2 linked regions of the Cricetulus griseus genome follow. The protein of the gene in region 1 interacts with the protein of each later gene in a pairwise test. Links are inferred from orthologs where the notes say so. Each region holds a gene or a part of one and is shown on either strand. Other genes may lie near its edges.

Region 1 (3,984 bases):
AAGACTGGAACAGTCTCTCAGAAACCTGTATTCAGTGCCAACAGCACTCCTGGGTAGAAGTGACTGGAGCATGAGCCTTGGTGAACTACTTGGTGTGAAACAGTTCTTAGACTGCATGCATCGTGGCCTGCAAAGGGGGTGTTGTTTTTCATGATGCTTGAGGCTCAAGTACTGCTTATTCCCCCAAAGCAGCTGCTCTTCCATGTTCCTTCTAGCCCCTTCTAGAACCCCAACACTGTCATCCAGCCACTGCCTTTTTCCTTTAAGGCCCCAATTTTCACTTGAAAGCCTTAAAAATAGTACCCCAGCACTCTGGCTTCCAGGATCAGCGGGGTTGATCATGGCCCATTTTCTCTTCTGCTACCAGGCACCACTTTCACAAGGTGAAGAGGATCCAAACTGTCCAACACTGGGTGCTTTTCATTTATTTCCATCTGGCACAAGTCATGAGGAATGTTGCCTGTTGCCTGTGCCCTGGGCAGGAAAGCTGGGGGTGGGTGATAGTGTGCTGCTTTGTAAAGGGCAGGCACTGTGTCCTCCAGTGACAAGAGGAAGACTGTGGAATAGACAGGACTCTGGCTGTCAGGACTCTGAGTACCCTCTGTGGAAGCATATTTATTTGCATTTTAAGAGAAAACACATGGGGAAAGCTGCAACAATGCTCAGTACCTTTTTACGTGACTTCCTGGGGACACAGTCAGACTTCAGGAAAGCAGAGCAATGGAATGCAAACACAGGAGTTACCTAGGATTCACTTTAGTGAGTAAACATGGCCCAGTGCAGCCATTCCCGCAAGTGTCTTTGCTCCTGGCAAACGCCAAGTAAACAGACCCCCAAGCTGAGTACAAATGTGATGGCCATACTGGCCTTATGTACAGGGAAGGAATTTGGTTAGACCATGACAAAAGGCAGATGGCCATGAGGAATTAAAATCACAATTCTTTTTGTCTAAGAACATTTTACTGGCAACACTGACTGTATCAAACAGACATTTCTGGGGACCGTGGATTCTCTTCCTGTCCCCAGAAGAAGTGTAACAGGAAACAGACGCAAAATGGGAAGGTATTACTACCATGTGATCAGCGCAGCCTGTGGGGGTGAATGCCTGCACCAGGTGAGAGGTGCAAGGTGCCCTTGGCTGTATTCCCCAGGGGCGGTCTGTTAGCAATAGGTATTTACAGGAGGGTTAGACAAAATAGTTAACTACTAAACGTATCCAAAAAAGGCCTGAGAAAATCTGGTTAAAATGCATAACCTTGTATTGCTACTGATGGGAGTAGTCATTTTTATATCTTTTAAAAATAATAAAAAGATTCTGTTAAAAAATATATTTATCCAGAAAGATGTTGATTTGAACTCTAAAAAGCAATGAGGAGTCGTCACTTTTCCCTTTTGAATGAAGAGCCTCTACTCCATGTTAGCTCCCTTCTGGTTTCAAGTTCATCCTGTCCTCTCTAACAATAGGCCATGTGCTGGCTCTCTCCCGGTGGGAAATCCTTCACCAGAGCGGGCACCGCCACGGTGACTAGGTTCTCTGCTGTCCAGTGGTCAGCTTGCCTGTCGTGAGAACCAGCCTTGGATTCCCCTAGCTGCCCCTAAGGACAGGATTAGCTGCCTTCGGTTTAGCCTGGAGGATGCTGCTCCCAAAGGAACTAACTGCCTTTGCGGACTCAAGTCAGGTCCTCAGTGTGTGGAGTGAGGTGGCTTAAAACTATTAATAATTTTTAAGGCTAAGGCAACATCCGTGGTCATCTGTATATCTTAATTTGATGCAAATAGTTAGCCATAATCTAAAATAGATCCTGTACATATCCTCTTAGCTGGGGTAAAGGGCATGGAACAGGGCACAGATGGGGAGTAATAATGGCCATGTCCTAGGAACCCTGGCAGAAGGGAAAATAAAGAGGGCAGCAGAACCCATTTCTTTGGTGAACACTCTACAAAGGCTGCTGCTCTCGTGTAGAAAAGCACCCTGACTCTGCAGTAACTGTCATCATGTCTGATTAAGATGTATCTACTAACTGCAGGGCTTGGCGTCTCTGTCTAAAGCTGGTAGTAAAAATGTGACCTGCAAGCCAGGATAGCTAATGGAAGAAGGTGACAATGCTCTCCTCCCCTCAGCCTGGAGATGGGACCTGCCAATGCTCCCCTCCTCCACTCTGGGGAGTTCCTGGTCCTGCACCTTTGCATAAGGAAGGGGCAGCTGCTGTCTGCAGGAAGTGTAGGCCCTCTGTCTAGGGTCTCAGCTGATGAAGCACTCCCATGCAGCCCAGAGGAGCCCCCGGACAGAAATGTCTATTTCTCAGTGAGTGACAGCTGCAAGACTTGCTGGAGTTCTGCTTCTTCCTCCTGGAGCCTTAGCTCCTGTTCCGCCAGCTCTTTGGCAGACAGCTCCATGGCCAGCTGTAGGTCGCTATCAAAACGGCTTGACTCACTGAGGGCACCTGGGCACTGACCTTCCATAGTGGTTAGGAGGCTCTCCTGGATGGCCCTATGGTGGGAATGGGACAGAGTTATTCCTATCCTGAAGGCAATGGTGACAAATACATTCTTAGTGATTAAAAGCACACTGTACCAAGCACTCCTCCTGATGCACGATGTCATGCACTGTTGTGATAGAGCTGCTGGGCCTATGTGACTGCATCACCCAGTACTAGGATATGAATGGAACTCTGGTCTGTTGGAAAGCACAGCTGAGGTGCCTGACCTCCAGTGCTCACATAGGAAAAGGAGGCACTACTGCAGTTTCTACCATTTCTATAGCTCTTCCTCAACCATCTTTAACTCTATCTATCCTCACCCAGCCAGACCTGCAACTCACATTCACAGAAGACCAAGCCAACCAGAAACCATTTAACCAGGGCTTTGCTGCAAGTAGCCCTAACCTGTGAAGCAGTCAGCATTTGGTTCAGAGTTGGTTTAATGAGTAACCATGATGAGAAGAAGCAGGAAAGTGTACTGACTCTTAAACCTGCCACTGAGCGCAGCCACACAGATGCCCGGTATCAAGTGCCCATGCCAACCCAGGTTTGACAAAAGCCACATCAGGACAAGTCCCATAGTTACCTCTCATACTGGGCTTCATAACTGTGGGTGGGACTGATCCCTCCATTTGATGCTGGTCCTGAAAGGTCCTGGCAAAAACAAAGGATGGGTATGAACTCCTCACAGAGGGAATGGTTGCCAAAATGACCAGGAAATGAACACAGTGAGAACAAAATGTACAGTATTTACGTGTCACTGACTGCAATGTGGACACTCACAGTGACCGTCAGTACCATATGGTACAGGGCATCAGACATTACCACCTTCTCAGACTTTACACAGTTCTAGTCTAGAACCCCTAACCTAGTGCAACAGTCAAACCAAGGCAAGGCATGCCTTAAAGACAAACTGAGGAGACATAATTCAGTGTTTGTTGACCTGGACTCTAGCTATTGTCCTCATCAAAACTTAGTTATCAAGGTTTTATAGCTATTGAGAGAGTAATACTAAGCTCATTTGAACAGACAGAGGAAGCACTGACAGTTTTGTCTAAGGGTTGGGTCTTCCCAAAAGCAGACAGCCCAGCTGCCAAAAAAGTAAATAAAAACCAACTCCCCCATACCCAGATGAGGGCTGGAGAAATGGCTCAGTATTGAAGAGCACTATCTGCTTTTCCAGGATCCAGGTTTGGTTCTCAGCACCCATGTGGCAGCTCACAACCATCTCTACCCCAGTTCCAGGGGGTCCAACACTCTTCTGGCCACCTCAGGCACCAGACAGACAGACATGCCAGAAAAACACCCATATACATTAAAAAATTAATAAAAAAAGAAAAAAAAAAGCACAGCAAATGAATCTGGACTGGGTCTGTGATGGCAGTTAGGGAGTAAAGAAGGGGTGGGACTAGAATTACTCAAGCCCCAGAAACCTCCAGTGAGCAGTGACAGGTTCATGGACACTGTGCTCACAACTCACAGGCTCGAAGAGCAGGAGCTACTT
Region 2 (4,461 bases), on another chromosome or scaffold:
CCTCCCACCAGGTTTCTCAACAATTCTGCTTTAGATAATGCAGCTCCTGAGAGTGGAATGTTCTGCCAGCCACATTCTGATGTCCACTGACATAGGTCAGCAGCTCTTGACAGTTGCAGGTAAAACTGTGTCTGTTGTCTCCAAGGCACCCTGTGGGCTGGAGGTTCACAATGAAGTCCAATATAGTATCTGTTTCCAAAGCCTACAACAGAGACAGACATTGGCTCTTAGCTAAAGGTGATTTTTTTACCCCTCAGGGGATTTTAGGTAACATTTAGAGTTCAGAGATGCTGTGAATACTATATACATATAGGCTACTCTCAGTTCCAATTATCTGATGCTAAATGTCAGCAGTGCAGTTGGTAAGAAACTCTGTGCTTATGAGCAGAAATAATTAACCTACACGTGGGAAGTGACACCAGGATCTGTTGGGGATGGATGGCATCATTTGGTGGGTCTCAAATGTAGATCTAAGATACCTGTTGCTTACATGCAGCCAGAGAGGTCTGCATGTAAGGACAGGCCTAAAACTAAACCATAGCTAAATTTGTGCTCCTACCAGAGCAAAGCCTGTTGTGCTATATACTAATACTATTTTAAATATAGTAACAACTCCCCATCATATTCTTTGTTTTAAATGCATTAATTTCAGAAATGGAAACATTTAAACTATAGAGCACTAAAAATTTTGTTATCACTGTTTTGGCAGATTTTCACTTTTAAATGTGTCCCCAGATAGACAATTGTCTTCCATTTGGAAAAGTGTAACAGGCTTCTAAGAGGCGCAGTGAATTTTAATAATCAGTACTTGTAAGACTAATACTGATAGCCACACACTGCTCGATGTACCTTTACTCTTTTTTTCCCTCCTACTCTAGAGGCACAGACTATTAATCGCATTTTATTAGCAAGGAAACTGAGGCACAGAACAATTGAAGGAGGTACTTAGGCCCCACAGCTGTTAGGCAGTGGGGCCAAGCCAAGTTCACACTCTTATTTGAGAGTAAAAATATTTCAGGTGGTCTGTTCCTGTCAGCAATTATTTTCACCCACTTGAGCCCTGCAGCAACTGCACAACTGAACTCTTGTTCCTGGCTGGGGCTTAGCTTAGTGCTCCAAAAGCATCGCTGCCCGAGGGTGGAACTTTGCTGTGGTCCACACCCCAGTAGTGTTCAGGGCTTAGCGGAGAGAATGATGCACGCCTGCCGGCCTACAAGCGAGGGCGGGCCATAGGGCACAGTTTAGAGCACGCGTCTGGCTAGCTACGCTCCTATTGGCTCATGGGCAGTGGAGGCTCGGCAGATGGGCGGGGCGCAGTAGAGAGCACGTACTTAGCCGGCCGAGAGTCTACTGGCCCACCGAGGGGAGGCGTGGTTTAATGTATCTCATCTTTAGGGCGGGGCAAGTAGTGATCACGCGCTCCAATTGACGCACTCCTATTGGCCAAAGTGGGAGGCGTGGCTCTGCAATATCTGCGTCGCCACCTCAGGGCGGAGCTTCTGGGCGGGGCGCAGGTAGAGGCGGGCAATCTTCTTGAGTTCCGCGTTGTGTAGCGGCTGGCACAGCCGCACGTTCCCTCTTGACGTTCCGTACCGCGGGAAGCCTGTCAGGAGCAGGATGGCGGCTTCGGGGGAGGCGCGCCGGGTGCTGGTGTACGGCGGCAGGGGCGCGCTGGGCTCGCGCTGTGTACAGGCCTTCCGAGCCCGCAACTGGGTAACGCTGCGGGACGATCGCTGCGAGCGGCAGACCCTTGGAGTAGGGGGTGGGGGAAACTACCGGCCCTGTGCACCCGTGACTAGGTTACACTCGCATGCTCCTGTCTGTTCCAGGCCACAGGTGTCGGACCTTTGCCCTGCAAGGAGCGTGTGGTGTAGGTGCTCCCGAGGCCTCCTCCAGGCCCAGAAGGTCCAGTGTGACTCGGGAGGGCAGAGGAACGGTGTGAGCGAACTGGGAGAGGAAGGGCAGAAGGGAGACTCTGGAATTGGGCGGCCCTAAGTTATTAGCCCAGTGACCTTGAATTGATTAACATTCTCTAGCCTCAGTTCCCCTGTAAAACAAAATGACAATAATGTTCTGTTTACTCTTGGGTCGATTGTGAAGATTAAGTGAGATAACAGGTAAAAGCCTTTTAAGTGCTAGCTGTCACCAATACTGCAGCTAATATTATTACCAGTGTTGCTTTAGCCCTGTTGGATCTGGCAGTTGAAGGCTCAGCCCCGCAGTTGCTGACATCTTTGCTCAGTTAAGGATATTTCAACTATTTTGCCTAGTCAGGTGTCCACTCCCAGAGGACAAGTGGACATAGAGCTGACCTTGGCCCCAGCCTCTTAGCAGGGATCAGCACAGGAGACTTGTCCTAGAGTCATCCCTGAGGCTTGGAGCACCTACCTGAGAGTTTAGTTAGCAGAAGGCCTGGGCAAGGGATCCCCTGAGACCAGAGAGAAGGGCTCAGAATTTTGTTCTGGCATAAGTGTGATACAAGAGTAATAACAGTATCTGTTTAGAACATTGGAAGCCTGGGATGTCTTCCATGATCTTCGAAGATGGAGGGTGGAGACAAAGGCAGAATTGAAGGTGTGGGCTTTGTCTACCTCAACTGGGTCCTGTACTCATATCTATCTGTTTTCTCGGATTCTGACTTCATTGATTACCCCCCTCCACTCTGCTGGTTAGCTTTTATTGTCACATTGACAACCCAGAGTCACCCTGGAAGAGGGAGCCTCAGTGGATGAATTGCTCAGATCCAATTTGCCTGTGGCCATGTCTGTGAGAGCTTGTCTTGATGGATGATTGATGTCGGGGACTTGGCCTGTTATTTCTAGGCAGGCAGGCTGGGCCTTGGCTGAATAAGAAGGCAGCTGAACATGAACCAGGGAGCCAGGTACTAAGCAGTGTTCCTCCTTGGCCTCTGCATTGAGCCTGGTGTGCTGACTTACCCCAAATTCTCTTTTGTGGCACCCTAGGCAGGGCTGGGGTGGAGCCAGCTTTGTCTCAGTATTATTCCCCATGGCTTGTGGTATACAGGTAATGAGTGTTGTTGAATGGTGCTGTACTTGCAATTAATGGTAGATACTGACCTCTGGGGTCTTCAGCTTGAAGGACCCCAGAGGTTTCTGAAGTAAAACTCAGTGATGCCAAGAGTGAGTATCCTCCATCTCATTTTGTTTTTACTAACCATGTTAATCATTCACCTGTTTTCTTTAATGAAGAAGATTGCCACATTATGGCTGACTAGTATTAATACCTGAGTCAGTCATCCACACAGAAGGCCCATCTGTCTGCTACAGAGCAGGGGGTCTTCCATAGGACAGCTGCACAGCTATCCATCTCTATGCACCCAAGAGTTGTGAAGAGTTTTACACTTGAAATGGTTTTATAAAATGAAAAGAATAACAACATGTGGTATGTGTAGTTTATATTTCAGCATCTGGCATTTGCAAGGATGGCTGGTATGCCCCTCCAACTCCATATTGTTTGTAGCTGTCTCCTGTGCTAGTAGGTTTAAGTATTTGTGAGAGCTCATAGTCCAGCAAAGCTTTTTCTTCTCAATATGGCTCTTTGTAGAGGCTTTGCTGAATTCAGGTACTACTAGATACATGTTGAGTTTGGCCTTGAGAGTCCAGCAGAGAAGAGGAAGGAGCATGATGGCTTGGGATGAAGTGTGGTAGAAGGTGGGTCATCCACGGTCAGTGGTTCCTGAAGGGATGCCAGGAAGATCAGTTGTTATTTCCTTTCTCTAGTGGCTTTTTGTTTACATGTTAAGCAAAAATCTGAAATGCTTCTAAATCCGAAGCTTTTTAAGGGCTGTGCGAAGCCTCAGATGGGAAGTTTCATGACATGAAACCTATTGCATGTTCAAGATTATTGAAAGTACTGTGTAAAATTTCTTTCAGACTGAGTATACAATGTATATGAAATGTGCTTACCAAATGTGAACTTTGCATTTAAGCTCCAGTCCTATTCCCAAGATAAGTAAGTATATGCAGATATTTCAGAATCCCAAATTGCAACCTGGAAACATTTTTGGTCCCATGCATTTCAGTTTAAGCCTCTTCACTTTCCCTATTGCTCCTATTTCTGGGTGTGACTTTTTAGACAAGTAATAACTCACTGACTCTTAACCAAAACTGTTTTTCTTGCTCCAGTGGGTTGCCAGCATCGATGTGGTGGAGAATGAAGAGGCCAGTGCCAGTGTCATTGTTAAAATGACAGACTCATTTACGGAACAGGCTGACCAGGTAATCTAAAAGGTCCCTCACTGTGACAGGAGAGGCCCAGGGAGGGTTTCTCAGGCTGTGCTCTTTGTCTGCCAATTCAGAAATCCTCCAGAGGAAAACTTAGAAAAATTGAAAATCAAAACTTAAAGCAAAAACAAAGATAAATTTTAATTTTAGTATCAATTTCTGACTAGCTTTTTTTTTGTGTGTAGCTTTGGAGCCTATCCTGGCTGGCCTTGAACTC

What was found.
Region 2: the proteins of Ankrd13a (region 1) and Qdpr interact in a two-hybrid assay, tested with the Homo sapiens proteins (2 studies listed by BioGRID). The two-hybrid records come from large-scale screens. The link is inferred for Cricetulus griseus from reciprocal best matches to the Homo sapiens genes ANKRD13A and QDPR.

The regions. Positions count from the first base shown.
Region 1 is NC_048597.1:94,422,728-94,426,711, reverse strand, and holds the end of Ankrd13a (ankyrin repeat domain-containing protein 13A), read right to left. Parts: intron 3,135-3,984; coding exon 3,067-3,134; intron 2,492-3,066; coding exon 2,296-2,491; 3' UTR 589-2,295; downstream 1-588. UniProt on the Homo sapiens protein: Ubiquitin-binding protein that specifically recognizes and binds 'Lys-63'-linked ubiquitin. Does not bind 'Lys-48'-linked ubiquitin.
Region 2 is NW_023276807.1:114,014,929-114,019,389, reverse strand, and holds the start of Qdpr (dihydropteridine reductase), read left to right. Parts: upstream 1-1,520; 5' UTR 1,521-1,617; coding exon 1,618-1,713; intron 1,714-4,145; coding exon 4,146-4,238; intron 4,239-4,461. UniProt on the Homo sapiens protein: Catalyzes the conversion of quinonoid dihydrobiopterin into tetrahydrobiopterin.